Linked DNA regions of Drosophila melanogaster. The protein of the gene in region 3 interacts with the protein of the main gene of each other region in a pairwise test. Each region holds a gene or a part of one and is shown on either strand. Other genes may lie near its edges. The genes, in order: CG15198, Gp210, CG4270 and Set2.

Region 1 (7,356 bases), on a different chromosome or scaffold from region 3:
TTTATATTTATATTCCCTTGTAAATGCAAACAAGACTTACTCATTATTTTGTTTACCTTTGACGACGTATTTGATACTCTGGCATCAAATGAACCCCATATTTATCTCAGTGTAAAACATTCGAATCCAAAGCTCTGACAAACAAATATTATATTGTTTTCCATATCGATTTCCTCTCCAACCGTTCCTGCATTCAATTTTCAGGATGAGCCATGCAACTTTTATGTTGAGCTCATCATTTTGCCAACTGCTCTTGTACGATGGCAAAAAAAGGGGTGGGGGTGTGGGTGATGGAAATTGGGCGGGAAAATCGAATAGGGAAAATACTGAATGGCAGGGAACTAAGCGGAACAGACAAAAAACAAGGATGAACAACGATGAAGACGGAGAGCTCTGGGCGGGCAAATTGACAAAAGAAGCTGCTCGAAGGACTCGATGGCTGAGTGAACTTCCAAGGAGCCAAAGGAGCCAAAGGGGATCCGCTCTCATAGTTGAGCCGTAAACAATCAATGCAATCTCAACTTGGGGAGCACGAGCACCCGGAGCTCCATCAATTTCCATAATTAATCATGCAAGACACAGCAGACACAAAAGGGTTAAGCGAAGGATTTCGTTGCTCTTCAGATTAAATCAAATCAAATCGAATCGAATTGGAAAGTAACAATGTAAAAGTTTTGCTCGACAATCCGTTGAGGGTTCCCAAAAAAATAAAAGAACTTATACAAATTTGATTGATTGTGCCTTCGCCACAGGCAAACAGATTTGGGCTTCAAATTCGTGAATCTACTTAACAATATTTAGGAAATTTAATATGTTATGCTGATGGCAACACGGCGCATGAGTAATATGTTATAAATCATACGCCGCGTTGGCAGAGCACATTTTTTGCGAGGAAACAAAATTATAACAATAAAAGAATTTCAAAATGAAATTCAATTTAATCTTTAACAATTATTTTTGGCCTACGGCAATCACCTTAAATCTAAAATTACTTTTTCACAGGTCCTGAAATACTCGTAAATAAAATTTCAAACACAATAGAGAGAGGCCAAGCAATTTCCAGCTTCAGGCGTCGCCCACAACAACAAAAAATACATACACCGCAAACGCCTAATAGATTTTCAATAGAAAATCCATTCAAGGACGCTCTGATGATTTTTCGTTCGCAAAAAAAAAAAAAGTTCGCCATGCATAAATTTCGGCCAGGCGACAAAAACAGCCGCGGAACCGCAGGCGCGTTTTACGAGCGTTTTTTCCCGCCTGCCAACCTCAAGATGCGCACAAAAACAAAAAAAAATATGTATATCTGCAACGCGGCCAGGCCAACGGCTGTGGATTCATGGCCATGAATTGACCCAAACTGAAAATGGTTAGCACGTTTTTTGGCAGGGGTTAGTCATGGCCAACAATCGGGTTAAAGGCGGCGCGGTTAGGGTAAGGGTTAAGGGGTTCTACGGGTGAAGAACAGACATTGCCGCTTACGCTTTGCGATGCAGCCCCAGGCAACCAGCAGAGTTTTCACAGCTACACAGAAAGAAAAAAAACAGAAATCAAAAAGAAAAAATCAAATATGTAAAGTACACTCTGAAAAGAATATAAAACAGAGGGTGACAAGTGAAAGTGGAAGAGTGCTTTTGAAAAACTAAAACTTTACAGTGAAAAAAAAAACGCTCTTTAGAAACAGAAATCATTAATGATAATATTTAAATTTTCATTTGTTAAAAAGGTTAAATTTAACTACTTTTTTTAACCAATTGAAATAATATAATTCAAAACAACTTCTTAAGAAACTGACAAATGTACTTTAATCATATCACATATCTAAGTTTCGGGTTTCCCTCTTTCCTTACAAGAAATTATCTAGCTCAAAACTAGAAGCTTAGGAAAATGCATGAAATGCCCAAGTGGATGCAGTTGCTCCTCTTACAAAAGCTGCCTTACCATTCTGTGTGGTGCTGCCTTGGAAGAGGTTCCGCAGATACGTGATCAGCCGCCGGTGGAGCGGTCGATGCCGATGGCGCGATGATTTCCTATGCGAGGAGGAGGACTCCTGACCGCCACCGCCCTGCTCCACATCTTCCACGTCCAGGGTGGAGACAATCGCTGCCCCCGAGCCCGCTGCACCCGAACCCGGACCACTGGCCACCAGCTCCTTGCCGCACTGACTGGCGTCCACAATAATCTCGATGCTGCGTTGCGTGCTGGACTTTTTAATGCCCAATGCCGCCGTGGAGCAACTGCTGCCGGAGGGACCACCACCGCCACCGCCGGAGTTAATGGTGCTGATGAGGGCATCTGTGACACTGGATCCGGTGCCAGCGATGCTGCTCACCGTCTGGTGATGCATCTGCTGCTGCTGCTGGTGCTGCTGGACCGCTCGACCTGTGAGCAGGTGATGCTGGGCGCTCGAGGGCAGCTCGTTGACGGTGCCATTGCTGTGGCTTCCACGATAGATGAGCTCCGTTTCGTTGCTCACCTGGCGCAGGGCATGCAGTCCGGTGTGCGATGCACTGCTTGACATTCCGGCGGAGGATCCACCACCTGCGCCGCCGCCTCCAGCTCCTCCTCCTCCTCCGCCGCCGCCGCTGCCGGAACCACCATTTAGACCCGTGTAGTAGGCGCTATTCGGTCGCTGGCTGTGCTGCACCTGTGGCCCGGCCATAATGTTTCTCTCAGTGTATGTTATGTACTGCTGGAGCGGCTAGAGTTCCACCTCCTTCTGCTGCTCCTGTTCCTGCTCCCGATCCTCTCTAGCGGCTGGCTTTAATTGTCGCTGGCTGGTTTTAGTGGTTTTAGTAGCATATTGGACAGTTACATGGTTACGGCGGTCACTTTGTTAGGCAGATTGGGGTTAAGCGGTGCCGCATCTGCGAGAAGCGAGTAAAATCGAGCAGAATATATATGTTAGTTCCGATACTAAGGCATTTAGGTCTCTAAACCGATCAATTTCTTTAATTTAATTTCATTTGGGAATTAATTAGTTTCCCAAAAACAGTACAAACAAACTGTACCAAATGCTTTCGAAGCTGGGTACTTTATCGTGTTCCCATATTATTTTCTAATTATCTTAATTTGATCGGAATAGAGTAAATAACAAAGAAAACTATTTCCAGGAATTTCCATTTATTCCATTTGCCAGCAGCGTTGCATTGTTAGTATGCGTGCATGCGTATGTGTGTGCGTGTGTGTGCGTATGTGAATTATAAAGCTGTTGTAAGCGCACTTGTTAGCCCATTTTAATCCTATTTACTAAATGATACACTAAACTAGACAATTGCCTTCTCAGTAAATTGCGGCTAACTAAGTTGCCAATGCACATCGATTGAGATGCTAACGCACATTGTAACCTATTAAATTTATGCAAAATATTACAACTAAATTAAACATTTGTTATCCCAAGTAAGTAGGCCTCGCAATGAAACTCGCATAGATAAAACCATCCGTGTGGTTGACTTTTGTTCAGTATTGGGGCAAACCTTACACCGAACAGTTCGGAAAACTAGCCAAAAAAAAAAAAATTCAAAATTTTTCCGTGTGAATAACTCCGTGTTTTTCCACATTTTCTACCTTTGCCGTTTAAACGTTGCTGCGCTCACCATCACCATGAAAACCCTCGAGTCCGACGACAAACCCTTCAATCCCTTCTACATTGGCCCACATCCCAGCAAGGCGTGTGCCATTCCCGAGATTCCCGGCCAGCAATGCTCACCCAACTGTCAGCCAACTACTACGACCACCAATGGTTCTCCAACGGATGCAACGGATCCCAACAGTTTGCCCAGCGGAGCTGCGGGCGGCATGGTAATCGTGGCCAACATATATAGCACCGTCGAGGTCCTGGCCGCCGCCGCTCGTATGGGCGGAGCAGCGGGCACTGGAGGGGATCAGGGTGCGTCGTCTTCCAACAACACCACATGCAAGCCGTATCCCTGCATGGAGGGCGCTCGCATCGATGGTCCTGGCTGTGGTTAGAACCAGAGGAAGTTCACATTGGATCAGAAAGCTTTATCTACCAACTGGCTATTTGAATAGGCTAACTCGCAACACCAAGCTAGCCCCAAATACAAAAATAAAAGGCCCAGAAAAATAATCCATTCGTATTTTTTCTATAGTCTGTCGAAAAATGATCAGTCTTTTTCCTACAGCAATGTAAATAGTTGTCCAAATATGGAATGCCATACCTCGTTGAACTCGTCATAAAATTGTCTTTCGAATGGCATTCACAGTTAAAAATGTAATTTTTTTTCAATTTTTCGCAAAAAATGATGATGTTACCCCTTATAAAAAATCTGAAAATTTGAAAAAAATCAATTTTTTCAAATTAACAAAACGGTTACAGAAATCGTTTATTTGGATCATTAGCTGTATAAAACAGTAATTTTTTTGAATAAGTGACCATTTTTGGCCAAGTTATAGCAAACTGAATTCTTCGAAAAAATCATCATTTTGCCAAAATGAAACACCAATTTTTCAACAAAATATAATCATTATTTTGTTCATAGCAATAAAGTTATTTATCCAAACATGGAATGCCATACCTCGTTGAACTCGTCATAAAATTGTCTTTCGAATGGCATTCACAGTTAAAAATGTAATTTTTTTTCAATTTTTCGCAAAAAATGATGATGTTACCCCTTATAAAAAATCTGAAAATTTGAAAAAAATCAATTTTTTCAAATTAACAAAACGGTTACAGAAATCGTTTATTTGGATCATTAGCTGTATAAAACAGTAATTTTTTTGAATAAGTGACCATTTTTGGCCAAGTTATAGCAAACTGAATTCTTCGAAAAAATCATCATTTTGCCAAAATGAAACACCAATTTTTCAACAAAATATAATCATTATTTTGTTCATAGCAATAAAGTTATTTATCCAAACATGGAATGCCATACCTCGTTGAACTCGTCATAAAATTGCCTTTCGAATGGCATTCACAGTTAAAAATGTAATTTTTTGTCAATTTTTCGCAAAAAATGATGATGTTACCCCTTATAAAAAATCTGAAAATTTGAAAAAAATCAATTTTTTCAAATTAACAAAACGGTTACAGAAATCGTTTATTTGGATCATTAGCTGTATAAAACAGTAATTTTTTTGAATAAGTGACCATTTTTGGCCAAGTTATAGCAAACTGAATTCTTCGAAAAAATCATCATTTTGCCAAAATGAAACACCAATTTTTCAACAAAATATAATCATTATTTTGTTCATAGCAATAAAGTTATTTATCCAAACATGGAATGCCATACCTCGTTGAACTCGTCATAAAATTGCCTTTCGAATGGCATTCACAGTTAAAAATGTAATTTTTTGTCAATTTTTCGCAAAAAATGATGATGTTACCCCTTATAAAAAATCTGAAAATTTGAAAAAAATTTATTTTATCAAATTAACAAAATGGTCATAGAAATCGTTTCTTTGATTTATTAGCTGTATAAAAAAGTACTTTTTTTTTTGAATGGGTGACCTTTTTTGGCCAAGTTATAGCAAATTGAATTAGTTGAAAGTATGAATTTTTTGCAAAATGTGGTGTTTCAGAAATCCTTTGGTTAGTTATATCATAGCAATGGATCATTGGCTGAATGCCAATTATTTAAGAAAGCCAGTTGGTTACTTAAATTTTCGGCGGCTAAAGAGTTTTCCCGTTAACTGTTCAACAATAAACGATTCGAGTGGAATCCCATTCGGGGAGCATTATTTTTGGAAAGAAATTCGTTCGTACATTTGCAAGCCGTTGCGATGGATTTCATCTGAAGCTGCAGCTGCATCATTTATGGTTCGCTGGCAACTGGCAAATGGATCAGGAGCAGGAGCAGCAGCATCCACATTCACATGCACATCATCCTTTGGCCCAATCGTTTGGGGCGCTGCAGGAGTGCGGTGCGTTCGGCCTGGAGTCTATCGAACGTATTGCTTTTGCAAATTCAATGAAGTAAAAATTTATTATTTATTGATAGACTTATGCAACTGCACAACAGCAGCACCATCAGCAGCAGCAGCAGCAGGAACAGCAACAAGGAGCTGAACACTTTATGCCGCCAACCTTGCAACCTTTATGCTGCAACCGAACAGTGTTGCAAAGTTGGTCATACTCGAAGCAGTTAACCATTTACTTTTAGCCCAACATTTCAACATTTTTAAAAAGTAGATTCTATAATTTATATAGGAGCAAAAAAAAAACTTATGTAAACGTATCTTTGCGTAAGAATACTTGGAATTTAATTTACTTGAATTAACATTTGCAATACCCATTGAATGATTATATATTTTTATTTATTTATAATTAACCTTAGAGTGCACAAGTAAAAAGTAACGCCTTTCGGTATTGAACTTAATCTTAGTTGAATTGTGTGAAAGCATTCATCAGCTCTGCTCTGATTTGTTTTTTTTTTTTTTTTTGGGTTTTATTTTGGCATCCCTGTCGAGGACACCATGTATGTACATATGTATGTGTGTTCGCCTTTCTGTGTGGGTGCGTGTGTGCATGTGTGTGTGTGTGTGCACTCGTCCTGGTACTTGGCAAAATTGCAGTCGATGCTGCTGCCAGTGCTTTTGCTTTTGCTTTCTTTGCCAGCACCTGTTTGCCAAATGATTTATGCATTTCACCCATTTTGCCGTCGACGATGCCACGTGCAACAAAACTAGCAAACAACGGCAAAAAACTGCAACAAATGCAAGTGCAACCCGCCGGCAATAACAACAACATTTAATGTGATTTTCTTGTTAAATGCGAGTTGAGTCGAGTCGAGTTGAGTCGCGTGGAGTCGCTCTGTTCGCGAAGAAAAATGAAGCACTTTGCTGCCAGTTTTTTATATTCGTCGTTGTCGAACCCCTTAATAGTCGTTAGTTTGTTAAGCTTTTAAGCTACCTCTTTTATTTTTTGTGTGCTAAATCGTTAACGGCAAGTCGTTGAACCATTTTACAATTGCCGCTCTAAAATGAAAAATGAAAATGTGGCGACTTGTTTAGATTATTTTAAGAGATAGCGAGGGAAATTCGTACAAAGGAAAAATCGTAAACCGTTTATCGGAATCAGCTGAAAATAACTTGAAGTTAGCCCAAATATCGAGCATACGCACCGTGTGCCTGCAAAGAGACAGCCCGAAGACAAGCTGAAATCTATGATGCCCATTTCAGCAATTCCATTTCCAACTGTCAACAAATCGAGTGCAGAAAAGAAGCAACAACAGCTGCGTAAAGAAGAGGAGGCAACTTAATTTATTGAAATGTCCGGAAATGTACGCATTAAATGCGCCGCACGACGACGAATGGAAAACAAAGCATAAATATCTATTAAAATGAGATTGAAATAAATTACAATTTACAGGAAAAGTCAGGGCAATGGGAAATGGC
Region 2 (9,009 bases), on a different chromosome or scaffold from region 3:
GGCATACGTTTGCCGCCCTGGATGGTGAAGTGACAGTCCTGATTTGGCTTCCCCACTCTCTCATAGAAGTCACAGTAAATGTAGCCTAGCAGTCCTTCCCTCTCGTGGACAACGGCGAGCTTGTAGATGTCGTTGTGCCAGGCCTCGCCTGGCTTTAAATCTGTGTTCTGCAAACGGATACCGTAAAGCGCGTGTAGCAAATTGTCCAGACCTTCCATGCAACCACCAAGAGAGAAATATGGCAGGAACTCGTTGGCGTGCTCCTCAAATAATTGCCGCCTCAGCTGGTTGGTATAATACGGCGTATCCCAAACTTCGGCTCTTGCATCCGCCTTCCCGCCTTCACGGCGTTTCATTTGTGACATCAGGGCGAAATCGCAATCTGCGCGCGGTCGCAGCTTTTCCGACAGCTCGTCGATAAACTCTCGTACCACTTCGGGTTTCTCCATCGTGCTACCTTTGAGTGCCCGGTGTGCATATGTATCGAAGCCACAGCTACGCGCCAGTTCATGCCGGCAAAGCAGTAGGTCTCGGAGAAGATCCTCCTGGCTCTTTGACGGCTGCAGGTACAACCGGTAGGCAGCCTCCCGCATCTGAACGTTCTCTGCGTTTGTGCACAGTCCAGTGATAATTACATTTTCCCCAGAGGTAGGAAAGCTGACAAAAAAAAATCTTTAGTATAGCCCAGATAGTGTTATATGTGAACTTACTAGTTACGAAAGGACTCAGGGACTTGGCTGCGTGGAAGAACACTAGGTTGCACAGCTCCACTCATGAACTTCTGGCCGAGCTGAAGAATATAGTCATTTAGCCGCACAACACGCATACGTTCCTCCTCGGGCAAGTGAATTCCACACTGCTCAAAGTCGAAAAGGAACAAACGCGACACATGTCTGTCCACTTCGCTGGTGGGCAGCTTATCTCCATGATCCACTACGTGGCTTAAAGCCTTATAGATGGGCTTATGCGTGTTAAGGCTCTCGACCATTCCGCAAATGCTTATGCAGGCCTGCTCTGCTGCTTGGGTGTATCTGCTCTGAGGATGCGCGATACGAACAAACTCTGCGAGGTCCGCCACCTTGCACAATGAGTCAGAAAGCTCGTCAAAAATGTCGACCATCTTTCGACGTCGTTGATCGGAGGTGGCCTCGGAGATCAGCTCCTGCGTCCGGCTTTCCACATTGTCTCGAAGGAGATAGAAGCCCTCAAAACTCCGCAGTTCGGGCATGCCAAAGAGGCCCTACGGGAAAAAGGCCATGTATGCCTAGTCAGAGGTCCTGCGTTTTACAGACTTTGGGTCTTACAACATCGTCGTGGGTGAAGTTGATCCGCCTAGCCGGTGGCGCATTAAACGCCGTAGCCAGCGGCGTCCACGTAGAGACTCTGCGACTGCAGTGCCGCGTTCTCCAGCGCAGCAATGTTCGACCAAATTCTAGCATGGCACTTCCCCAATTTCGGATCACTTAAATTGCTTGTTTATAACGAAATGGTTACATGAGAAGTCAGCTGCCGGTGAAGTCAACCCGATGTTGCCAGACGTTTTGCTTTTCGATTACAGACATCAATTAACTGCATGTGCAGCTGTATAGAGTTGAGTTGTGTTAACAGTATTTTTCTAAAGCTGTCACCAGTTTAACTAGGATTAGTTTAGATATTACAGAAAAATAAATGTTAATTAAGCTTAAGCGAGTCCTATTTTAGGAATACAAAAAGAATAATATTCCTATTAAGACTGAGTTGCAGGGTATCCCGAAAATGATGTTATTTGATAAATATTTACAAGCAAAAACCCAATTTTATTTGTAAATAAATATAATTATAAAAAAAGCTGTTATACGTAATATGTAAGTCTTCGTTTAACTTGAGGTACAGATATACAACTGATTATGATTTACATCACATATAATAAGTGATATATTGGTATTTTTGAAACCCGTATAATATAATTTATCGATAGTTGATATTTGCGATATTGTCATTCTTGTCCATCCCTATCCAGCATCTCGTTCCGCGCGTGGCTCGTTTGCCGGCACGATGGATTCTATTCTTTGCATGATTTTGCTGATTTTGGTAAGAAATCATGCTTCTGAGGCAGCTAGGTTGAACCACCCGCGTGTGTTACTACCAATATTCGAAGACAAGGCAATAAACTTTACCCTGGAAGTCGACGAGCCGAACTGCTACAAATGGTAAATCGGCGTCATACAGATATAATTTTATAACTTCTAGAACTACTACTACTACTATGCTGAACTTGCAGGTCGTCCTCACGCCAGGACTTGATATCTGTCATGCCCATTTACAAGGGCTTCAGCGAATGTGCATACCAGGCGGTGGTGACAGTCCGCACTCACGATCGTCGGAGGAACACTGCAATCGTCTTCGCCGAGGAAGTACAAACGGGCGAGACGCTGCGTTCCGACGTGATTGTGGATGTCATTGCTAGTCTAAATGTGCGCACCGCCACTCGACAACTTTACCTGGAGGAGGCGCCCGCCATGTTCGAGCTGCACGCCTTTGATGAACAAGGCAACGAGTTTTTTACCTTGGAGGGAATCGAGTTTGACTGGGAGATTTTGGAACCCGGTAGCAAAAGGCCCACCGCAATGCGATACCTCACGTTCACGGACAGTCCGTACCACACTGTACCGCCCACCATTGAAAAGTTTGAAGCCGACGGCAAGAAGGGGCACATGATCCTCCTTGAGGGCATTAATACTGGCACCGCCAAGGTGACCATCGCCATGCCTCAGGCCGAGTACAAGCATGTGCGGCCAGTTGAGGTGTACATCAGCGTTCTTGCAAACATTATAATTGAGCCTTCCGAAGTCACCATAATGGCTGGAGACTCCGTCTCATTTCGCATTCTGCAGCTGAAGATGGACCGACTGCACGTTATAGACAACAATCAGTATTATTTGGAGGTGGAGGACTCCAGCATTGCATACCTTCGTGGAAACAGTGCCACCGGAGCGGCTCTGGGTCGCACCCAGGTCTTTCTGCGAGACCGCAACATGGCGGACTCTGATGAGGTCCAAAAGGGACCCAGCGCTCTATTGACTGTGGCATATCCGAATAGGTTGTCCATCAGTCTGTTGCCCCATCTCAATTGGGTGACAGTACAAGGCGAGCATCACGCTATAGCATTGGATCTTTTTGCTGCCGACGGTCAGAAGATCACAATGGGCACTAAATATTCAATCAACTCAGAGGTGGATGAATCCTTTTTCGCCATTGTTGATCGTACTCGCAACGGAAGCCGCCTTTTCGGTCAAGCAAAAAAAGAGGGAATCACTCAGGTGTATGGCTCATATAAAGACGTAAGTTTATAACTAAAATGTTTGTTATATATATTACTCTAGAAAATATGTGCATAGATATAACCCATTAAAAAGAATCGCGGTATTATCATATAATTAGGCGTTTGTCCACTTCTAAAAACTAAATATTATCTAACAAAAAAAAAGCCATTAATTAAAATTTGTTTTTATTGCTTGCCGACCGCTAAAAATAATTCATTTCGTTTGCCCACCTCTTTTATAACGAAGTAAATAAAATATTAAATAAGTCAAATAAATATCTATTTTTATAAAGTCAACCGCAGTGATATGTAGAATTTTAAATTGTTTGCATTTTTTATAGAAGGTTAACTCAAAATAATAGTCCAAAAGTCTATTTGTTATATTAAAAGTTCTTATAATATTGTTATTTATGTTGCAGCTGTCGGTACAAGCTGAGCTTCAGATATTTGAGGAGCTTCAGTTAGCGCCAACCAAGGTGGTGTTGCCATACGATCCTAACAGCTTAAAACCTTTAAAGCTGCAGTTTCATGCATCTGGCGGAGATAACAACTACGCTTGGTTCTCCGGAAATCCACAGGTGATCCAGATTGACACCCAGGGCCAAGCCACAACTGAAATCCGCGACGTGAAATCCGCTTACGTGAACCAGGAGGTACTGAAAGATGGTGGTAAACTGACCGCCCACACCACCGTCAAGGTGGCTCTATCCAAGAACCAGAAAATTTCCCGTGTGGCACATATCTACTTTCTCCCCCCTGAGCGCCTTCAGATCACGCGGAGCAACTTTGAGACCGCCCTGAAGGACTTCGTACACGTGCATGTGGGCGTATACGCTCGAATAAATAATTCAGAGGTTCCCTACACAAGTTGTGATAATCTTCACTTCCAACTAGACTTCAGCCAGCCCATTCTGCAGTTGGAGGGTAATGAAGGGGCGGAGGCTGCTCACGAGGCGTGTCATGTGCTTCGGTTGCGGGCCACCGCTGTGGGCACCACCTCGCTACGCGTTTCCTATATGTATATGGACAAAGTGCTTTACGACATTATTGATTTGTATGTCTTTGAGCCATTAGTCGTGCTAAATCCAATAGAAAACGAGGTTGTTCTTCCCGTTGGGTCATCCCGTAATATAATTTATGCTAATGGGCCGCAGCGCAGTTTTACGGTGGCAGCAGAAATCATACAATCTACCGCTTTTGATGAAAAAATATTAAAAGTGTCTAAATTAGAGTTCGACACGCAAAATTTGATAACTGCGTTCACCGTGCTGTGTCGTGAGCTGGGCGAGACGCAGTTCACTTACCGAGTGCATAATAGCCTTCCCACCTCAAGCTTTGCCTTATATCAATCGGAGGTGACCACAAAGGTGCATTGCGTCCGTCCTCGCTTCCTAAAGCTCTACGCTCGCCATAACCTGCGTGACTCCTGCCCCCTGGAGAAGCGCACCTCGTTATTATTCCTGAAAGATCCAGAGAATAAAATTGAAATTGAAATCGAGGTACACGATTCAAATAATCGTAGGCTCATGAATATCAGCTCACTAGGGCTTGACTGGGAGTTTTCCGCTGGTGAAGAGCGATACCAGAAGAACATTATCCCGCACCGTCAGATTTCTGAATTGGAGTTCAATCATGGAGTTACCCTGCCGAGTCGCGACCTTCTTGTCTTGACATTGAGTGAAGTGGCGACCAACTTCCGCATTAAGGGAACGGTGTCCCAGTATAACGACAAGCTACTTGCCCAACACGGTATTCACGCGGAGCGTCCTCCCTTTGGAATCAAAAATGTGGGTAATCCTCTTCAACGTTAGTAATCCGTAAAAATTTAATGATAATTTTTTTACAGCCTCAGACGGGTTTAATATACACTCCTCTGATTGAAAATGAAATTAGGTTACACGCCGTTAACAGTACGTTGTTGCCAAAAGATTACATGAGCATTTTTCTGGCCTCGGGCTATAGCGAGCGAATACCAATCGCCCAGGGCAGCGGCTACTTGCAGCTGGAGCTCTCCGAGGCAGGTATTGTTCAAGTTGAATACAATGAAAATACCCGAATCCTAGTGCTGACGCCACTACGCCTTGGCCATGTTCGTCTTGAGTTGACCGACCGTTGCTTAATGAACGAACCCAGCCATTTATCCATCTCTGTGGTTGGAATCGGGGCTATTGAGGTAGTTAGCATGGACCGGCTAGAACGCACTACTAGAATCGAAGCTATCGTAAGGCTTTTTGATACCAATGATAATCTCTTGCTTGTGGACCAGAGCAAACTTAGTGCGTACGATTTATCCGAGGTTGTCGCAGACCAAAGTATACTGAGCGTGCGCCTAGGCGAGCAGGAAAATGTAGGACCCGGAGAGATCCGCTACACAATTACGGGCAACCAAGTCGGCGAAACCAAAATATTATTTCAGTCTGGCAAGGGCATTTATAAGGTGGCAAGCGACCCTCTAAATATTCAAGTTTTCGCTCCAATTCGTCTCTTTCCGCGCGACTCAACTCTAGTGGTGGGCAGCAGTATACAGGTGTACTTCCATGGAGGACCGCACCCAAATACCAACATGATAATCTCAGTGGAGAAGGAGCAAGTAGCAAGTAAGTTTTTTTGTGTATCATCTTAAAATCACGTAATCCCTTTTGTTTTTTATCGTCAGCTATAAGCTCTACTGTTGTTACGGCCCATAAGCTGGGGACCACCAAAATCGTAGGCAAATGTCTTCTAAAAAACCCTGTCACTGGAAAGGACGAGGTGGTCTCCCAGGACTCGGTGGAGGTACACGTAGTGGCTCTGAAAGGAGTACAGATTCGAACGCCTTTGGTCCGCATTCATAGTGGGGCCGTAATGCCAGCTACCTTGTGGGGTCTTTCTGATTTGTCGCCCATGATTTTGGGTACCTTGCAAAACACTAAAATCTCCTGGAAAGTAAGCCAACCACAGGTGGTTGAGATATTTAATGTATTTACAACTGCAGGTTAGTATACTTTTATCTATTGTTTAAAAATAAACGTGTTCGGATACCGCTGTAGAGATAAGAGACTGTAGCTCTATGGCCACCAAGAGCACGGATAACAAAAACAATGTATTCTTCGATGAGCCTGCCTGAATGAGTTTCAAAGCAGGCACAGATACGGAATATACAATAGTTTCTATGACTGTGATATTTGATGATGTGAAGCGCTTCCTTCCGCTTGTTACACATTTTTCAACGAATCTCTTTTGCAAAGAGTTTAGTATAACTTAACCTCTGCAATTGGATACATAGTTTCTATACATAACAAATAGTAATAAATTACGTTTTTTACTACTGCAGGAATAGAGTATCAGAGTGGGGATTTGATATCAGTTAGAGTAAGAGCCCTCAATCCTGGAAAGGCAACAATCACGGCATCGGTTACTTTGGCAGACGGAACAATACTGCCACCAGCTACAGTGGACTTACAAGGTACGTTCAAGCTGAAACGGCCACCTATGTCTACCATAATAATTAAAAATTGTATTGCAGTTTTTAAAACATTGGAGCTGGTAACACCAAATGCCATTAAAATGGATTCAATTTTGGCTGCGCCGCGAAGCATTCTTCAGCTTAAATCTAATATGGATAATGTGGTCTATAAACTGGACGATCGAAGTAATGGCATTGTCAGTGTAACACCAGATGGCCTTGTACACACAAAGGACTCTCTTGGCCGTGATCTGATAATTGTGAGAACCTGCTTTTCGAACCCTACACGGGAGGACTTGAATTTAGTATTTTTAATATAGGCGACGACCGCGGACCAATCCCTACCCATAGGAATTGAAGTTAAAAATGTGCAATACATTTTAGTAACGCTGATGCCAATCCTCAAATTAAGAGAGCTTGAACACAAAATCCCGCGTGGAATGAACTTTGTGTTTAAAGTGTCGCTTCACGACAATTTAGGCAACGAGCTGTCGCACAACATCGAGGATTTCAACGGACTACGATATGAACTCGGCAACAAAGATGATGTGGATGTCCAGATAGATAATAATCTAACGTTTGCGGTAAGTGTAATTAAGTCATATGATTGTAACGCTCCATCATTGCCATGTCAAATTGTATACTTTCCTTTCTCCAAGTAGTTAAAGAGAGCCCAATTTTTTTTATCTCAGACCAAAAAGTGTAAATTCATTTAGGTTTTAATTATTTGAATGAAAGGTTCGGCTACTTGTGTCTTAATTTAAAGCGAATACATTCGCATTTTAACATTCAAATGTAATTTATATTTGTCTGTTACACTCATTTTCGTTTAGTTGAACTTGATGCGAGAGACCAACAATGTCATTGGCATTAGTCTAAAGGACTCAACGGGTGTCAAGCACTCCATGGACTTCATAAAGCTATCTGTTGTCGAGTCGGACAATTTATTTCCCACCAAGGTATTTATTCTCCCAAATAAGTGGAACTTGCTTTCTTACTTATAAATGTTTTAATGGAACATCCGTCGTCTGTAACTTATTTGGCTTTGACAAAACTTTATCCAACCGGCAGACTATTTTCTCTGTTGGCGACATAATTTGTTTCGATTCACCTTTAACGTTGTCATCGACTTGGCGAAGCTCCAATGAGCAGATAGTTTACATTAATAAGCATACAGGTGAGTAATTTACTGCTTGCATTCACTTTAATCCCACCTTTAGTGAGCATTGGTATACCCTTGCATTTAAATCACAATTTTGGGACGCTTTTCCATAACGCCACTATGATGTTTTGGATTTTATAAAATATATATGTATATTCGTATCCATCTAGTCGAGTCTAAAATTTAAGCCTTTCTGTTTAAAACTCTTCAAAGGGAGAACTTCTCAGATCGATTGTATATATAAAATCACAAGTATTCTTTTCTTAACATCGAAAATGAGCGAAGCCGTCTACATCAAAAAACAAAAGGGAATGCTATAGTTGAGTTCCCCACCTATCAGATACCCGTTTTTCAGGACAAGACTGATAAAAAAATGAAAAAATATCAAAACATTTTTAATATGCGTGGGCGTTAGGTGGGCGTCGCACTCGCACTTTCTATCTTCACCCCAAAATTATTTTACCCACTAAGATACATAGTTTATATCCTCCTCTCCATTACAGGCATTGCCCAGGTGTTAAGTCATCGACTAAAGCCGGGAGAAAAGATTGAGATCACTAATGGCGACGAGACAAAACGCGGCGGATTTTTAAAGTATGACCTGGAAGTTCGCGAATCGGATACGGTATTGCATCCATTGTTACCACCTTTTGTCAGCATCTCAACCAATATTTCCTACAGATTTTGTTTGTCAAATCAGTGGACACATTTAGCGGACCAGAATATCGGGGACAACTAGTTATTCGCAACCATTTGCAGTCCGAAAAGTATAGTAACCTTGTAAGGAAATTGTAAAAAATAACTGTGTCTTGTCCTGATACATGCTTCCCTTCCGTAGATTGCACAAAATGTTTCAAAATGTGCCAGGGAATTGGGAAGCGTACCGGTGAATTTCTTTACATGTCGCCTGGCGGCCAAGGATGCTCTGGGACGTAATTTACTAAAAATGTATAAAGTTGATGCATTGTTTGAGCCTAGCATCGGGCAGTACTCTTGTCGACTACAGTTGCTCACCGGTTTTATTGAGTTGCTAAGTATTGTCAAGACACACGACGTCTACCTGGAGCTGGAGGTCAGTCTCAAACAGTGTAAGATGTTCAT
Region 3 (7,457 bases):
CTATTTGCCAGAGTAAACAAATATTTACATATGTTTGTTGAAATTTTATGCTTCGCCAAGTCCTTGCATTTCTTTGACAGTTTCTTTGTGAACTTTCAGGTTTTGACAAATTAGTTAGGGAAGAAGTCAGTCAGCTTGTCAGGTGAGTCGTGCACAAAAGGAGCCATGTCCCGATGGCATGAATTGAATAATCTAATCATCTCTCAGATTTCTCCTCCATTCAATTACCAAAGAAAACCACTTTGATCGCATCAAAAGCTTAACGAAAACCATTAGATATCACTTATTCACCTAGGACCCCTGACTCACCTCATAACTTAACTTCTCATCTGCGCAAAACTAAGCTTTGAATCCATATTCCAAGTCCACAGTTTTTGCCATTCTAGAAGGAAATTGTGAAATAAATTGAAATGCAAGGCAGGCACATAAATTATTTGCCAGTCAACAGCTGAGGCAAATAAATAAAAATGGAAATGCATTTTTTGGTCAGATCCTCAGTGCTCGGGACATGTCTCGTTGGCAAGTCCATAAAACTATCAGCAAATTTTGGTAGAATTAAAATATTTATGCATTGTACGTGTGCCACATGCTTATGTGTCCCTAGCTGCATTTTCCATTTTCCTCTGTCTTATTTCCTTCTTTTCGGGCAACGCAACAACATGATTTGTTTATTGTTTTAATAAACGTCAGCAATTTTCTTGGGCTTTTAAAGAAACATTTCGAACTGGCTGCATGTGCGTATGATTAATGTGGCAATGTCAACTGAATTCAAAAAACCCGCCTCACTCTTTCGCTGCTAACTAAATGGAAAACGCAAAAGGCAAAGGGAAAATGGAAAATGGAAACTTTCAATGCAACCAAATGCAATGCCACAATGATTTATGGCCCAACTTGAAAATGGACGATTGTTTCACTCGTTTCGGGAGTTGGCATCCCATGGAAACTGTGAAAATTGCTGGGATTTTGGGGGCGGCGAGGGCGTGTCCGCGGTGCTTATGGCCATCGCCATTTATTTAAACGTACGCGAACAGCGATTCGTGCTGCGATTTCCTCGATTGGAAAAATTGAATTATAACCATTTGATGAGCTCAATAAAAACTGGCAGCTGCCTTTGCCAATGATGGCCTTTCAAAAGGTTCGAAGTTCGGTTAAAAAAACGATGTAATTTTTGGACAGCCGTCATGAGTATTACGAGATTAAGGCTTATTATTATTTGTTCACTATGTGTGTATGGGCCACTTTTAATCCACATTTCCAGCTGATGAAAAAATCCCGAGCATATAGTGCTTAAATCCGGTGCCATTCATCTGGTTCCATCCGTCGCCACATACGACGCACTTTTCACATCCACTTTGCTCGCTGGCGGAAAATTTGCACCACCGATTGACGCGATAGCTTTTAGCCAAGTTCATTGCATCAAAAGGCAAAGCCAATAAAAAAGGCGAAACAGCGCCATTTAGCCGGAGGAAAGGCGATCTCCGTGCCACTGTAACTCGCTCAATTGAATAGACAAAGGGGGGGCATTTCGATGCGGCGCCCCTTTCAACATCCAGTCCTTGGAGCCCCTCCACTTCCCCCTGCGGAGGAGGTGGCATTCCGAACAGGCGCTCAGAAATCGCAGACAGGTGCTCGGTGCCCAGGATTCAGCCGAAAAGGATGGAGGCACAGTGACAGCGGATTGCAGGGGATCAGAGGGAGACCAATCGAGCTTTATTACACTGCGAAAAATGGTGCGAGTGTGTGCGTTCAGTTTCTTCTATTACAGCTCATTTTAAATGGGTTAAATATGAGTTTAATTTCCTAATAAAATGCCAATCTATTTATATACGTATTTTATATTAAAACCTACAATAAATCTCCCAAGTGTAGTGGTGGCTCAAAGTAGCACGCAGCTGAGTGGCAGAGTCCTGAAGTTTGGCGACGGCGGCCACCGTTAGTAATCCACTTTTTCGTCCTGCTCCTCCTCCCGCTGCCTTCCTTTGGGCCGCAAACATTTTAGCTTTTATGGCCGAAAGGCGCAAAATATGACTGCCAGCCAGACTTTGCCGGCGCACACATGCAAATGCAATTTCCAAAAAATTTTTCCGCCAAAAAGTCGTGCATGAGAATGTGGTTCGCAGAAACGAACCCAAAATTGTTCGTTGTTGTAGTTTTAAGTCGCTCGATAGCAATCCTGGCCCAAAAACAATTTTGGTAGGGCGGCGGAGATGTTCGAAAAAAAAACTTTTCGCTTTGCCATAAACCGATTTGGTAGCAAATTTTATGTCGTTTAGATGGAAAATTTCCATTTGACTGCCCTTCGCGGGGATCAAGGATTCAAGGAGTTCTCGTTGAGCTTTGTTTGCTCGATTTTTCAGTGACTTATTTCTGTTCTGTTGCATTTTATCGCTAATTGACATTACCGAGGGTCAAAGGCAACTGGAATGGCATCCGACTAATTGAATTCCAGGTGGGCGGTAAGTGGAAAAGCGGAAAAGCTATTCATTAACCTTTGGCACTTTGTTAATGGATTTAAAGAGTAAGTGATACTAAAAGGTGTGGAATGTGAAGCTTATAACATTTGAAATCGTTGGGAATACTTAAGCTTAACGACATTGGAATACGCATGCTACCAATGAAATCTGCTGGAATACAAGAATACATTTATTGGCTGCAGTTGAGATTGTTTGGCTTCAAATTCAGAATGAACTTTTTAAATTGTGCATTCATTTTTTGTGCGGTACTTACCCTATGCCAAAACATGACCAATTCGAATCAATGGGAATCGGAATTAAAGGCAGTATCCGTATGTGCAACCGAGTGCATCCGGCTCCGGATGCCGTGTGGTTGATGGAAATGCGAGCCTGTTTGCCCAGATACCAGATACGATATATCAGATACCATCTATGTATATAATGCCCGCATGCTCGAAATAAGAGTGCGAGTGTATTTATTTTGCGTATGGCGCGCACTGTACCCTCCACTCGACCAGCAATGCATAAATAAACGAAACCAAATTTGCGAAATTAATTAAATCGACAGAAAAGTAACGTGTGCGCTTTGCGTTTTACGCTTTGACTGTGGCCAGCTTACAACCCAAACAATTTGGCCACCCAGCCACTGAACCACCCAATCCCCCAGCCACCCAACCACCCAACCACACATTTTCCAACTCCGATGGCACCGAAATTGTGAATTGTGCATTGTGCGGATGACGCGACTGTGCATCGCGTTTCTGACAGAGGCCATGGAAACCTGAAATGCAGCGAGCAGGCTTAAAGTTTATTACAATATTACCAGAAATTCTACCAGCGGCTTAAATGGAGCCATTTATCCATTTCGAAAATATCTTTGTCTATAGAGCAAATGAAAATAAGAAATGGAAAAGGGAGCTCCCGATTAATTGAATTGAAATTCATCCTAATCTTTGATATTGATTGAATTATATATTACCAATTAACCAAATTGGCTTTAATCTGTATTAACATTAATACTTATTTAAATTCGCGGCTTAATAAACTATTTTATCCAGCTTTAAGCTTATGGCCGAGTACTTAAGTACTTAGTACACAAATTCACATAAATCAATGAGCTGGGCCATAATTTAGTGCCTGGCACATGAGTATATCAAACGCAATGCTGTGACCCCGCATCCACCTTGCGGCGCACAGGATAATTTCAGCGAGTCAGCCTGTCCTGCGGCTGTATCCGCCTATCTGTACATCGGAGCATCGGCTTAATCTCTGCCGGGAGCAGCGACATCGGCCGGTCCATTGATTTGCATTTGCACAACTCATTAGGGATTCACACTTGAAGCACCACCCGCAGCGCAGACACACACTCACACACTTAAATAATTTAATATTCCGAGTGTTTCGACATCGAAATTTGCACTTCCATGGGCGGCGCTGCGGGCGATTGATAAGGGGCCTCCATGTCGGCCAACTCGCATTATCCAGCTCGATTCAGTCGGCAATTAATGCCACTCCAATTGCCCGATTTGCCTGCACCTACATATCCAGCCATATGGCTGGATTGCGAAAGAATCGCCGGCTCATTAATAACCAAACCCAGTGACATGCATCACTCATACGTCACGTTGGTTAATCCCATCGGCAGATGCAGAAGAAGGATGTGTGATACAGTCTGTCTAATTCCCGTCAATGGATTTGGGCACGCACACGTCCTGTGAATCCGTCACCCACAGCCTGTGTTTGCGGTATCAATCACAATGCTAATACCGATGTTTAGGCCAGATTATGAGGCGGTTTGAAAAAAGGGTTTTTCGGCTGTAAACAAAACATTGTGATTGATGGGTGAGCTATTCAGAACTCAGTGAAAATTTTAATTGACTGCCTTGTATACATGTATAATAACCACTTAATTTTGTAACTTAAAAACGAGAAATGTTGATCTAGCCAGCTAGCTTAAAAAGTCATTAGGCATACGTAAATTTGGTTAACTAAATCACGGCGCCAGCCAATCCCCCAAAGAAATATGGCGAAGAGAAACGTAGCGCCCATTCCCAAAACCCACGAGCGCCCTCCAGGTCCCAGGGGTCAGGATACCAAGGGCAACAACGAGCTCTTCCTGAAGGAGGTCTTCAATACCACCAATAAATATCGGGCAATGCACGGCTGTCCCGCGGTGACCATTAATGCTGCACTAAATAAGCTGGCTCAGGAATGGGCCAATGTAGGATGAGGGATAAAGAGTATTCTATAGTATTTTATATTAATTTGCACCCATTTCCAGCATCTCCGCGATCAGAACACAATGGCGCACAGACCCAATCCCAAGTACGGCGAAAACATTTTCCTCTCCGGTGGAATGGATGTGACCGGTGATCTGCCGGTGGAAATGTGGTATCGGGAAATCAATAGCTACGATTTCAACAAGGCGCAGTTTGTGCCCACCGCTGGACACTTTACTCAGCTCATTTGGAAGTCGTCGGTGGAAATGGGTTCGGGTGTGGCCCGAAAGTGAGTCTTATGGCTATGGCTATGGTAATCCTATTCATACATGTCTTCCAATAGAGCGGATAGAACTTGGGTGGTTTGCAACTACAATCCTCCCGGCAATGTTGTGGGTTTGTTCAAGGATAATGTGCCGCCAAAGCAATAACTCTGGGATTTTTTGATCAAAATTTTAAGCATAATAAAAGCGTAATCTAGGTCCAGTATTTGTTTGTTTTATTTACCATTTTCTATTTTAAATTGTGATGTTTCGATTTTCTAGTTTCCTTGGCATCCAAGTCCGATTTAAGTAGAAGGAATTTTCTAGGCAGGACATTTTCCCTGAAATGTTCGCTTACATTTCCAGGCGGATGGTAATTGCACACAATCCAAATGGAGGAAACACTGCGTGTAAAATGTAGTTAGTTTCGGATTATTTTTAGTATGACTTAAAATTATGAACCCACTCGCATGCCACGCCCACTCCCAGGAACTCTGACTCTCTCCAAACCAACTGGGTAAAATGTCCAGTGTACAAATTAAAGCCTGGCTTTAAGTAATCGTAGTTGTATTTTTCTTGGTACCAGAGTTTCAGTATTTGATCCACGGAGAATTTGGATCTCCGGACACGCATAATATTCTCGCCGTAAAGAGGATTAGGTCGAGTTTCCAGTTTGTTCAGATCAGCCAAATGCTGTGGAAATCAAGTTTAGGTGAAAAAGAAAGGATCTATTTATATTAAATACATCTACATACATCTGCCCACTCCTGTGCATAGGAACAAAGTTTTTCATCCATTTTCAGGGGATTGGCGTTGTGAAGCCTTCGGTACTTATTGGTTTCCCTTAGTACAGCTTGTTTTATAGGCTTGCGTCGAATGATAGGAATTTTGTATATTTCAAATTCCTTTAACAGAGACTTCTTATCTTTTTTCAGTTTTTTCGACTGAATGGAACTTCTGGAAGATGTTTTGCACTTGGGAGCTGCGCATTGTAAACACCTTTTACCATGCGACCAATCCTTTTCTGTGTTAAGTGATCTATTTGGTGTTGATGGAAATTTGACTGGCAGTGACTTTATGGAATTTATAGATTGTGATCTCTGGACCTCGCAGGCCAGATAGTTCCGGGAATTATGGTAAATCTTAATGGGTTTACGGCAGAAGGAAGTGAGGCAGCTGCGGCACTTTTCCAAATCGCGGTTGCTTGAATCGCAACCAATAAACGTAGCGTCATTGTGCTGAATTATCTGCAAAGGACATTTCTCTGCCGACTGGACTTTATTTTCAATCTCCATTTAATTTAATATATTCATAGTAATATCGAAAATTTTGTAAGTTGGAAATTATTTTGTATATGAAGTTAAAGAGACTGGTGGCTGGTGTTGCTTTTTCCTAGACTTTTCGCTTTCACCAGCGCACGTTATCCTGGCTTTCCTTTTTTTTTATTAATATTAATTCTGTTTTTTCCCGTTTATTTTGGCGACAATTTCGCGTCACACATCATTAATTTTAAATTTCTGCCATAAATATCAACGGGGCGTGTATGAGCAGCGGGTGGTGACGGGTCACAAAGGTGTCAAGGTGAAATTATGGTAGCAGCAAGCTCCCCTCCTCTCCCCGTGACCTCTGACCTCCACCGAGTTAGCCTGCTTTTTGATTGACTGTTTGTCACTTGGGCATGAAAATTAAAATGGAATTTTTTACGCCCGGAGTTTTGGGGGAATGTTTTTTAGCGGACTGTTGATGAATTGATGGAGATAAAAATATTTATGATTCAATTTCCATGCCGTGCTTTCATTGATATTGAGTTCAGATCGTTAGGCTTTGTAATGAATACTACGTTAAATATACAAACTAATAATACTGGTAATTGGACTTTTTATTTAAATATTGTACATGACTGCTGCACTCTCTGACCGTTTGAATAATTTAATGTTGAATGTCATTAACCATACCCTTTAAAATCTCTGAGAAATCAAATTTTCGGTATTCTACCTAAACTGATTCGTAGAACCTTAACATTTTCCGACTTGCCACTTTCCGTGAGGCAGGAGCTATATTATTGAAACCCCCGTAACCGTAACCGTAACCGTTAACCCAATAAACCACTTTTAGGGGCGACAGGCGAACGGCAAGCGACTTTCGCTGTTGGCTTCAGTTTCACACCGTCAACAAGTGACAAGCACACCATCGCAAATATCCATAGACACACAGACAGATACGTATACGATACATATACGTGTTACTGGCATCACGTCAAAGTTGGTTGGCGTAATGCCACAGAAATTTCAGCAGCCTGCAACAAAAGCGAGTCAACCAAAATGGGAACGGTCAAAACAACAGCATAAAAATTGGTAAAATTTAAATTCACACACATACACACACTCGCAACAAAATCCCAGCAGGAAGAAGTGATCATAAGGCCTGCCCCAAAAAGTATACTATGAATTTTTATGGCGCTTTTTGGGTTTTTTTTAATTTCCACAAGCTGCCAAAAAAGGAAGAGGGACCCTCTGGTGTCC
Region 4 (9,037 bases), on a different chromosome or scaffold from region 3:
ACGTTCGTGCTCCTTCATCTGCTCGATTCGTTCGCGCTTAGGGATGCGGAAGATCTCCGGCAGAGCTTGCCATTTTTGGAGCAAGGCTACCATCCGTTTGTGAAGAGCCGCCTGCTTCTCCTGCGGCACCACAGCTAACTGCTGCTCCAGACTGTTGCTCCACAGTTGGACACTCTGGTATACGCGACTATCACTTAGCATGGTGCGATTCGGGATGGGCAGGGATTCGAGGGTGTCCAGAAGGGCTTCTCTCAGCTGGTCATCATTGCCATTCTCGCTTATCCAGGCATGTAGCAATCTCAAGCCGTGATAGTCCAGGAAAAGCCGGCGACATGGTAGCTCTCCATGGGTAAGCACACGCAAAAGTGCCAGCCGAGTCTTGAGCAACTTGGCACGAACCAAGCAACGCGAGAAGCGCAGCGTGTCCTGTTGGTTCTTAAGCCCGCCGCGCCTAAGCAGCGAGAGCTCCTCCACCACATCGGGATCCTCGAGCATTGCCTGGAATTTGTTGACCTTTGGTTTCTTTGGAGGCTTTTCGGCCGATGATGATGACCCGGTAGCAGAGGGCTTCAGCCAGCGGCCGGCTTTGTATTCGCGATCCTTGGGCTTGGTCTGCTCCTTGCGCTTGCGACCGGTGGCCAGTGGTAGCTTCGCCTTGAGCTTCGACTTCGCCTTTGCCTTGGCTGACTTGCGCGGCTGGCCCTCCTCCGGCTCGGCTTCCAGCTCCTCCTCGTCCATCTCAGCATCGCTGTCGCTTTCCTCATCCAGTTGCTCGCCCTCATCCGAGTCCGGTTCACCTCCAATCCAACCCCTGCAGTTGGCTGCCTCGCAGTAGCAACGCTGCGCATCTCGGCCATACCTCAGGTACTGGTAATCGAAGGTAATCTCCTCGCCGGGTTGAATAGGCTTCACGCTGAAGAAACCAATGCGTAGCTCTCCGTTGACCGTCCATTTCTGCGTCTCGGCATTCGGATCGCAACTGTGGTTGATGTACCGCGAGATATTACCCTTGGAGGTGGCGTCGATGACGGCTTCTCCTCGCAGCGCCATGAAATAGTAGTGACGATTGCGATCCTTCGAGTACAGATGCTGTCGGCGCTCGAACTCCTCGCTATCGATCACCTCGCCCACATACTCCATGATGAATTCACCCGGCGGTATTAGCAGTTCCGCCGTGATGCCGCATCCCTTCTTCTCCGTGCGAAAAACGCGACATGGCCAGCACTGGTGCTGCTGGAAGCGCTTGTTGGTGCACCGCGCGCCATTTGAGCACAGTGGTCCGCACTCGATCATCAGCATTCGATTGATGCAGCCGGCGCCGCAGCTTAGATGACCCTGCGCCTCCTCGTCGCCAGTGAGAAAGCAATCGCATTGCATTTCGGCATTCTCTTGGCTCACCTGAAAGCACAGAAATTATGGAATGGATGAAGTTCTAGTGCGGATCGTGTGGAACCCAATCGATCACTCACCTGCCTGGCACAACGATAGAAGTTTTCCTTTAGCAACTGGAAAGTGTTCAGGCCCTCGCTGCGCAGAAACTGCTCGTTGATGGCCTCGATGTTGGCCAGCTCGGCCAGCTGCTCGTCCATGCTGATTGGTGCTAGCGCAACGCTGGCCACACCTCTGCCCTGGCTAGCGCGTGGTCCCTGCGGCTTCTGCTTGATCCGATGGGAGCGGCGCACGCCTCCGCCGGTCTCAAGCTCCTTGAGAACAGTCGTGGTGGATGCTGAGTCCTCCGGATTCGATTGCGTGGGCGATGGGGTAGGCGTTGTGGCCGGGGTCTCCATATTAGCCACCCGTTGCGCGAATTCATCCTCCTCGGGATCGGCTTCTCGCTTCACTTCATCCTGCCCCTCCTTCCGTTGATCTTCATCCACCTTGTCGCGCTTGAGAAGATTCACGCCGTCCTCGATAAACTTGGCAATGTCGCCGAACGGATTGGCAGCCTCCAGTTCCGGCGAGGTTTGCACATCCCAGCGGCTCATTTTGCTTCCCGATGAAGTGGACTCGGACGACTCAGTTTCCAAGAGCGCCGCACTTAGAATTTCTGCAGACTTTAGGGCCTTCTTTTTCGGTGCTCCTTGGGAGGCACTCGAACTGGAGTCTAGCGAATTCTGGCGGCTCAGTGACTCTTTGCCTTCCTTTCGGCCCCGCTTCTTGCCCGCCGTTTGAAGAAGGGTATCGTGCAGCGGATTCGCAGATGCCTTGGGATGCATCGAGAAGCGGCGCTTGGTCAGCGGTACTGGTATGGCGGTCTCGGGTTGACGATCCTCGCAGATGGTGTACCGTCGTTGATCCAACTTGGAGCCACCGTCCAGATCAGACGTGGTTCTCTTGGATCCGTTTCGCTTCGATGAGGAATCCGATGAGGTGGAAACTGGCGAGCTGGCGGCCACCTCCCTAGTGGGTGTGCTGCTACTCGAGCTCGATCTGAGATCCTTGGCTGCCTCACATATCGTGCTGCGTCGCGGATTAATCTTCTTTTTGACCTTCGATGGCTTCAACTTGCCAGCCGAAGTGTTTGCTTGAGCGGAATCGGAGCTGGGAGAACTGTTCCGTTCCAAATTGGGTGAGTCTTCGTAGACGGTGTTCCTGCGCAAGCTGGTCTTACCAGACAGCGACTTTTTTTGCCCAGGAACAGGCACGGCGGTGGGTGGTTCTACCTTTGGCGGTGCCTCTACCTTGGTCGGCACCTTCTTCAGCTTTTTCTTGTTCTTCTCATCGAGACGCAACTGGGCGTTTGCCAAATCCATTGCCTTAAACATGGCATCGCACTCAACGAAACCGGACACAGCTTTCTCTTTGGCCTTGAGAACCGATGGTGGCGAATTGTCGGAAAGACCTTTCTTTGCTGCATGTTGTTCCTCTTTGGGTGCGGGTTGATTCGATGTGGTTTTCGAGATCACTGACGGTGCAGATTCTTGTGGTGGCTTAGTACTGCTCTTTGGCAAAGTTTGGAGCTGAGGTGACCATTGGGCAGTATCTTTTCCCTTTTTATCCAGTGTATTAGGTGATGACGAATCTAATTTTGCTGAAGACTTCTCCTTTTCAGTTTCCTTCTTCAAAATAGCTTCCTTTGCAGATTTTCCACTCTCTTTTTGCTTAGCAGGAGTTACGGCTGCACAAGATTTCTTCGAATCCATTTTCTTTTCTGGAACAGTCCCTTTCGTGGATTTTACGACCTTCTTTTCCATTTCACCTGCGCGTACTTTTTTATCCACAATTGCTGGCGAAGACCTGGCCGGATTTTCCATTGCCTTCTCCTTTTTGGACACAGTTTCGGCGACGGGTTTCTCGGGCTCCTTCATCTCTGGCAACGGTGTTTGCTTTTGCCCCTTTTGATTGTTGCACTTCATCATTTCGTCTTCAGCTACTTGTTCCTGGTTGCTTTCGTAATCTTCTAGCAAAAAATTAGGTTCTTCCGAACTATTCGATGCCTCTTCTTCCGGAGCGGCCGGTGGACTATCCTCTTTCGCTGCCTCAGTCTTCAATGGAGTGGTTTCTACATTTTCGTTCGACTTTTCTTCCGTTGACAATGATGTTTCTAATAGTACCGGTCCACTTACACTTTCCAGGGTGCAACATTCTGGCGGCACAAGTGGAGACGACGTCGTTTCCACTTCGGCGGATAAAATTCGCTCGGACTTTGGAATGTTTACTGCTGGCTTCGATTCGGGCAGTTCTACCTCCGTTTGCTTTGGATCGGATTCATCTTTTAGTGGCGGCTCTATTACGACTTCATCGGATAGTTTTGTTTCTGCAATCATTTCTGTAGTTGGTTTTGTTACTACGGCTGATTTTTCAAGAGTTGCAGCAATTCCTTCTGTAATATAAACATCTTCGGTGACCATTTCTGGCCGTGGGACCACTTCGCCACACGTAGCTTTAGTTTCCACTTTTGGCTCGAAAATGTCTTTGTTCAAGCTTGCAGCAATATTGTCTGACTCTGAAAATACTTTTTTAATGACAAATTCTTGCTTGGAATCAAGGATTTCATCCGCTTCATCCACCAACTGGTTCTCTTCGACTACGACTTCTTCCACCACCATGTGCTCGATAGTGGGCGACACGGACGACGTAACCTCTGACTCACTTAGCGTGTCTTCGATGAGATCTATCAGTATGTGCTGCTCCTCCTGATCCTGTGATTCCTCCGCCTCCAGGATCTGCTTGCTGCTCTCAGCGGCTATCTCGGCGAAGGTCTCCTCGAGAGTCTTCCCCTGGCGACTGCTGCCACTCAACGGCGCTGACCGCCTGCTGCGCCGTGGAGCTGAAGAGCAGGAATCCGCTGCAGGCTCCTTTCCCGGTGGAGTGGCTCTCTGAACTGTCGCATCCTCCTCTTCCTCGGCTTCATCGTCCGCTGACCAGAGACTGGGTGGCCCACTGAGCACCTCCACCATAATCTCATCTAGATCTTCTTCCGGGTCGGGAGTTGGTTCCTGCTTGGCCAGCTCCATGTCGATGTCGATCAAATCTTGTGGTTCCACCTCGACTGGCCGTCCCTCTTCCTGCTCCTCCTCTCCCTTGGGGCTCTCCGTTTCGATCTCAATGAATATGATCTGTGAGTCGGAATCGGAGTTTTCCTCGGCATCGACCATTCGGCTCAGGTTCTGCTCCTGCTTTGGCCGTTCGTCCATGGCGTTCTCATCCTGGAGTGCTGGTGGCTCAACCTCCGGCGAAGAGGACGATGGCGAGTTCCCCGAATCGGAGGACTCCAGCCGGCCGCCCAGTTTCAAGCGTTTGAGTGAGACCCGCAACTTGGACTTGGGTTTCTGTATGGGAAAGCCAGGAAGCTCGCCGCTGTCACTGCTCATGTTGGAAGTGGTCGTGCTGGTGGAGTTCGTATCGGAATCGGAGCAGCTGGGCACAATGACAGTTGGAATAATGGCCGCATCCGCTAGTTGACTCTTACGGGGACGACCCCGCTTGCGAGGTGTCACCGGCGGCAGGCCGGCCATCGTCTGCACAGGATGTGCGCCACCAACAGCCGATGGTTCACTGGTAACCTGGGCCACAATCAGACTCTGTGTGGGTCTTGGCTTGGCGAAGATCTCGAGGGCGGTTGGCGGCGGTGGTGGTGGCGGCAATGATTGGTGGCTCATCTCGAACATGGAAAACAAACGGCTCACGGTCGCGGCTGAGGATGCAGATGCGGCTGATGCTGTTGCTGTTGACATGGATGTGGATGCTGCAGTTGTGCCTGACTGGGAGTGGCCGGTACTGGGATTCGAGTCGATCCGTGCCTCGATCTGGATTTTGTGCGCCTTGCGGTTCTTGTTTAGCAAATCCCGGACATCGAACTTGATGATTTTCTTGCGCGAACTGCGCCGGCACTCGCTCTGTCCGGAATCCTGATCCTCCGGCGCCGTGGGCGATGCCTCTGCATCGGCGTGTTTTAACGATGGATTAATGTGCGGGGGCGTATTTCCCAACGCGGAAAGCGCCACTTTCGGCGGGCGACCACGTCCGCGGCCACGTGACGCAACCGGAGACGGATTGCTTGGCGGACCCGACTCCTCCATTTGTGGGCGAAGTGAGGGCGGGGTGGTGCGGCGGGTGTAGCGCAGCGGGCTAGCCGCAGCCTCCGGATGCTAAATCGCGCAGTCCAACGACGGGGGATGCAGATTTGTGTCCGATTTGCAGTGATATCTACTCTTTGCGTGCCATCCCAAATCCCTGAAACGATTAGTTAGAAACTAACTGCACTTGCTGTCACATGCACACGGCGAGACACCAATACCAATGCAACTTCGATTTTTCTCTCCGTCGGCGGTCTTCTTCTTTCTTGTTGTTTATGCACTGCGCGCAGTGTTGCCAAGCGAGATTTTGTTTTCGGGATGAGTACCTAGGCTACGTACAGGGTAGATGTCCTCGCTCAGTCTGTGGTATATTATTGGCCATGCTTGGCATGGTCACACTGCGTGCGAGATAGCGATAGAGAGAGAGAGAGCGAGAGAGCTTGATTAGGAAAATTCAAAAATAATCGCTCGCACTTTTTTTTTGTTTTGTACAAACGTTTCATGTTGCAAAGTTAACAATTATTTATAATTATTATTATTTATTCAGTGCGCTTGCCAGCAGGCCGAATTCGTTTCGAATTCCACGCACATGGGCTGCCAAACAATCGAAAAATCGAAATGCGTTAAATGTCAAGGACAACGGAAAAGCCACAACAAAAACAATAGGAAAGCAACGGAAAATCTACGAAGAGAGCGAGAGAGCAACTTGACTGGGAAAGTTTCGGAAGGAAAGTAAGAAAAACCGGGAAACTACTCGAGATTAAGACGTAAATATGTCAAATCCGGTGCACGGAAAACCGCCAAATAGCATGGGCCTCTCATCCGGCTCATTATCCGCATCCTCGCCCATTTCGGTGTCCCAGCAAGCGGGAAGCTCTGGGAACAGTTCCTCATCATCATCATCCTCCTCCTCCTATTCGTTGGGCGGTGGAATCGTCAAGGACAAGGCGGGTCTGCCGCCGGTCTACCTCAACCTGAATGATGTAAGCCGGCTGGAATCACATCTACTCTATACTAATAATAATAATAATTAATAATCCCCTGATCCCCCAGAATGCCAAGGAACAGACACCATTGCCTGGTTCACCGCTGCAAAACTGGGATGACGCCCGCACCGCCGACGTTTGGCTGTCCTCGCTGCACAGCGTCATCTTCATCATCACCTGCGCCCTGGCCGCCTTCATTCTGTTCCGCAACGTGCTCACCTGGTAATTATCGGGATTCTGGGCGGGAGTCCGCTTTCTCCCGCCTTCTGGCACCTCTCCTCGTTTAGGGCTTAGTAATTTTCACACAGATTTTCAATCTAAATGGAAGCTTCTGGGCCAACTTACCCAATTAGTAAAGATAATAGCTGAAAATAGTTTTGGGGCAATGATTGCATTATTATAAGCTTATTGATATCATAATTTGTTTTTTTTTTTTTTGCTCAAAAATGCAAAATTTAAAATCCGCATTCTGAGTCGATAGCCCTTGTGACCTCAGAGTGGACCATTATATAAGAGTTGCATTAGATTTCACTATATTCCCAGGTGAAGAGAACGGAATAGTAATCAGCGTGTTTGTTTAGTTATTTAAGCGTATACTCTTCATTGCTATAGAATAATAGACAAATTGAAAGTGCAATCATGAAATAGGCTTTCTAAGGCGAAAATCTACTCGAATTGCCTTTATGAACGAGGTTAGCATAGCATACCATAGATTTCTAGATCACAAACGACATAGAAGGGCATCCAAAGTTCGGTTTTCTGCTTTCTTCCCCACACTCTCTCTTTCTCATTTTTTTTTTTTGGCGAGAGTGTGGAACTAAGTTGAGCTTCGGTTTTGTGAGCTGCGCTTTTCCCTGCGATCAAAATCGCCAGTTGCCTTTGCGACGCTCAGCAGCGAAGACACGCGATTTGCGTGAAGAAAGCGAGAGAGAGAGAGAGAGAGAGAGCGAAGAATCGGGAGAAAGCCAATTCTGCAAGAACCAGAACATATACATATACACACTGAGATTACGAGCCATGGAGGATAAATTCATGGAGGTTTCTTATATCTATGCCAGGCATCTGCAGAGCTTTTGGGGAGCCTCCGGTGATTTCTGGCAGTCGCAGTGGGACAAATTCATCGACTCGTTCGGTAAGTGAATCTAACAAGTATCATATCCAAAACAAAGGGTAAAAGAATGGATAAGTTGACAGGTAAACTTTGCTCCTCTCTTTGTGTACATTGTGTACATGGGCGATACTGTGCAAATTGCAACTCTCAGCCACTGGGCGACACAGCAAAATGTCAACAACAACTGTTTTGTTTACTAATTCCATCGCACAGACACAGAGATACGGGCACAAAGATACAAAGAGACACATGCAAGAGATACAGATACAAATGCAACCAGAAGTGCTGCCAATTAGGCGAAATGAATCGCCGCGTTACTCACGCAAATTTGAATTCTTCAGCAAACAAATGTTTAGTACTCACACACCCCAATCGGGTTAGCCACACTTATTATTTAACCATAACTCTGTTTGGCCAGAGTAAATACGTTAATTCACGCATTGCACAATGGGCTCAATGTTCCGGGCTCATCGGTTAACCGATTTTGCTTAAGCTCAAAGTCAGAAGCTGAGTAAACAGGGTTCATAGGCCCGTTTTATTGCATTTTCCTTACAGCGTTTACAATTTACAATTCACACGATTCATTGCGTTAAGAACTTTACTTAAGCCACTTATCTTTATGGGTTTATTTGCCTGCTTTTTTTTACGGTCTACATATGATTTATATCCAGCTGTTGCTTGGATATTTCTTTATACATTTATAGATTTAATAACATCCATTCTCATATGAATCAATTCACTATGCATCTATTTAAATTTTGGATTCCAATTATAACTTTGCATACTTTAAGGCATCACTTATAGACTCTTTTATCGCCAGCTATTAATTCAATTTGAAATAAACAAATCTTCCAGGCGACGAGCCCATGGTTCTTTGGGTCTTCGGTACCACCATATTCACGATGCTCGTCTACTGGACCGTGGGCACACTGTACACCTTCATGGACCTGACCAATCGGCCCGCCTGTCTGCGCAAGTACAAGATCCAGCCGGGCACCAATGAGCCCGTGGAGGTTCGTCGTCTGCTAAAGGTAATGCAATCGATCGATCGATCGAGAAATTTATATTCAATTGATCCCACTGTCTGACCCCTCCGAATTCCAGGTGATCTGGTGCGTGGTCTGCAACCAGATATTCGTGGGCATACCATTGGCCTATGCCAGCTATCGACTAATGGAGATCCGTGGACTGAGCGACATTCGTGACCTGCCCACATTCCACTGGGTCTGCTTTGAGCTGACCGTGTGCATCCTGATGGAGGAGCTGGGATTCTACTATTCGCACCGTCTGCTGCACCACAAGCACATCTACAAGTACATCCATAAGCAGCATCATGAGTGGACGGCCCCCATCTCGGTGACGGCCATCTATTGCCATCCCATTGAGCACATCTTTAGCAACCTGTTGCCGCCCTTCCTGGG

Evidence for each region.
Region 1: the proteins of CG4270 (region 3) and CG15198 interact in a two-hybrid assay, tested with the Drosophila melanogaster proteins (one large-scale study listed by BioGRID).
Region 2: the proteins of CG4270 (region 3) and Gp210 interact in a two-hybrid assay, tested with the Drosophila melanogaster proteins (one large-scale study listed by BioGRID).
Region 4: the proteins of CG4270 (region 3) and Set2 interact in a two-hybrid assay, tested with the Drosophila melanogaster proteins (one large-scale study listed by BioGRID).

What each region holds. Positions count from the first base shown.
Region 1 is NC_004354.4:11,244,806-11,252,161, forward strand, and holds CG15198 (uncharacterized protein), read left to right. Parts: upstream 1-3,430; 5' UTR 3,431-3,603; coding exon 3,604-3,972; 3' UTR 3,973-4,080; downstream 4,081-7,356. Other genes in the region: CG44422 (uncharacterized protein), read right to left, coding at 1,942-2,662.
Region 2 is NT_033778.4:5,758,874-5,767,882, forward strand, and holds the start of Gp210 (glycoprotein 210 kDa), read left to right. Parts: upstream 1-1,988; 5' UTR 1,989-2,034; coding exon 2,035-2,189; intron 2,190-2,260; coding exon 2,261-3,320; intron 3,321-3,720; coding exon 3,721-5,088; intron 5,089-5,147; coding exon 5,148-5,898; intron 5,899-5,957; coding exon 5,958-6,275; intron 6,276-6,306; exon of another isoform or gene 6,307-6,446; intron 6,447-6,614; coding exon 6,615-6,746; intron 6,747-6,806; coding exon 6,807-7,006; intron 7,007-7,066; coding exon 7,067-7,330; intron 7,331-7,579; coding exon 7,580-7,705; intron 7,706-7,817; coding exon 7,818-7,923; intron 7,924-8,411; coding exon 8,412-8,533; intron 8,534-8,589; coding exon 8,590-8,688; intron 8,689-8,746; coding exon 8,747-8,980; intron 8,981-9,009. Other genes in the region: CG7791 (uncharacterized protein), read right to left, coding at 1-657, 711-1,240, 1,305-1,439.
Region 3 is NT_033779.5:2,259,082-2,266,538, forward strand, and holds CG4270 (uncharacterized protein), read left to right. Parts: upstream 1-4,360; 5' UTR 4,361-4,476; coding exon 4,477-4,674; intron 4,675-4,734; coding exon 4,735-4,961; coding exon of another isoform or gene 4,962-4,965; exon of another isoform or gene 4,966-5,004; intron 5,005-5,015; coding exon 5,016-5,103; 3' UTR 5,104-5,160; downstream 5,161-7,457. Other genes in the region: CG34049 (uncharacterized protein), read right to left, coding at 5,186-5,339, 5,402-5,628, 5,691-6,230.
Region 4 is NC_004354.4:13,409,952-13,418,988, reverse strand, and holds the start of Set2 (SET domain containing 2), read right to left. Parts: upstream 5,748-9,037; 5' UTR 5,523-5,747; coding exon 1,470-5,522; intron 1,399-1,469; coding exon 1-1,398. Other genes in the region: CG1998 (uncharacterized protein), read left to right, coding at 6,293-6,502, 6,573-6,727, 7,564-7,637, 8,472-8,647, 8,721-9,037. UniProt on the Drosophila melanogaster protein: Histone methyltransferase that specifically trimethylates 'Lys-36' of histone H3 (H3K36me3). Represents the main enzyme generating H3K36me3, a specific tag for epigenetic transcriptional activation.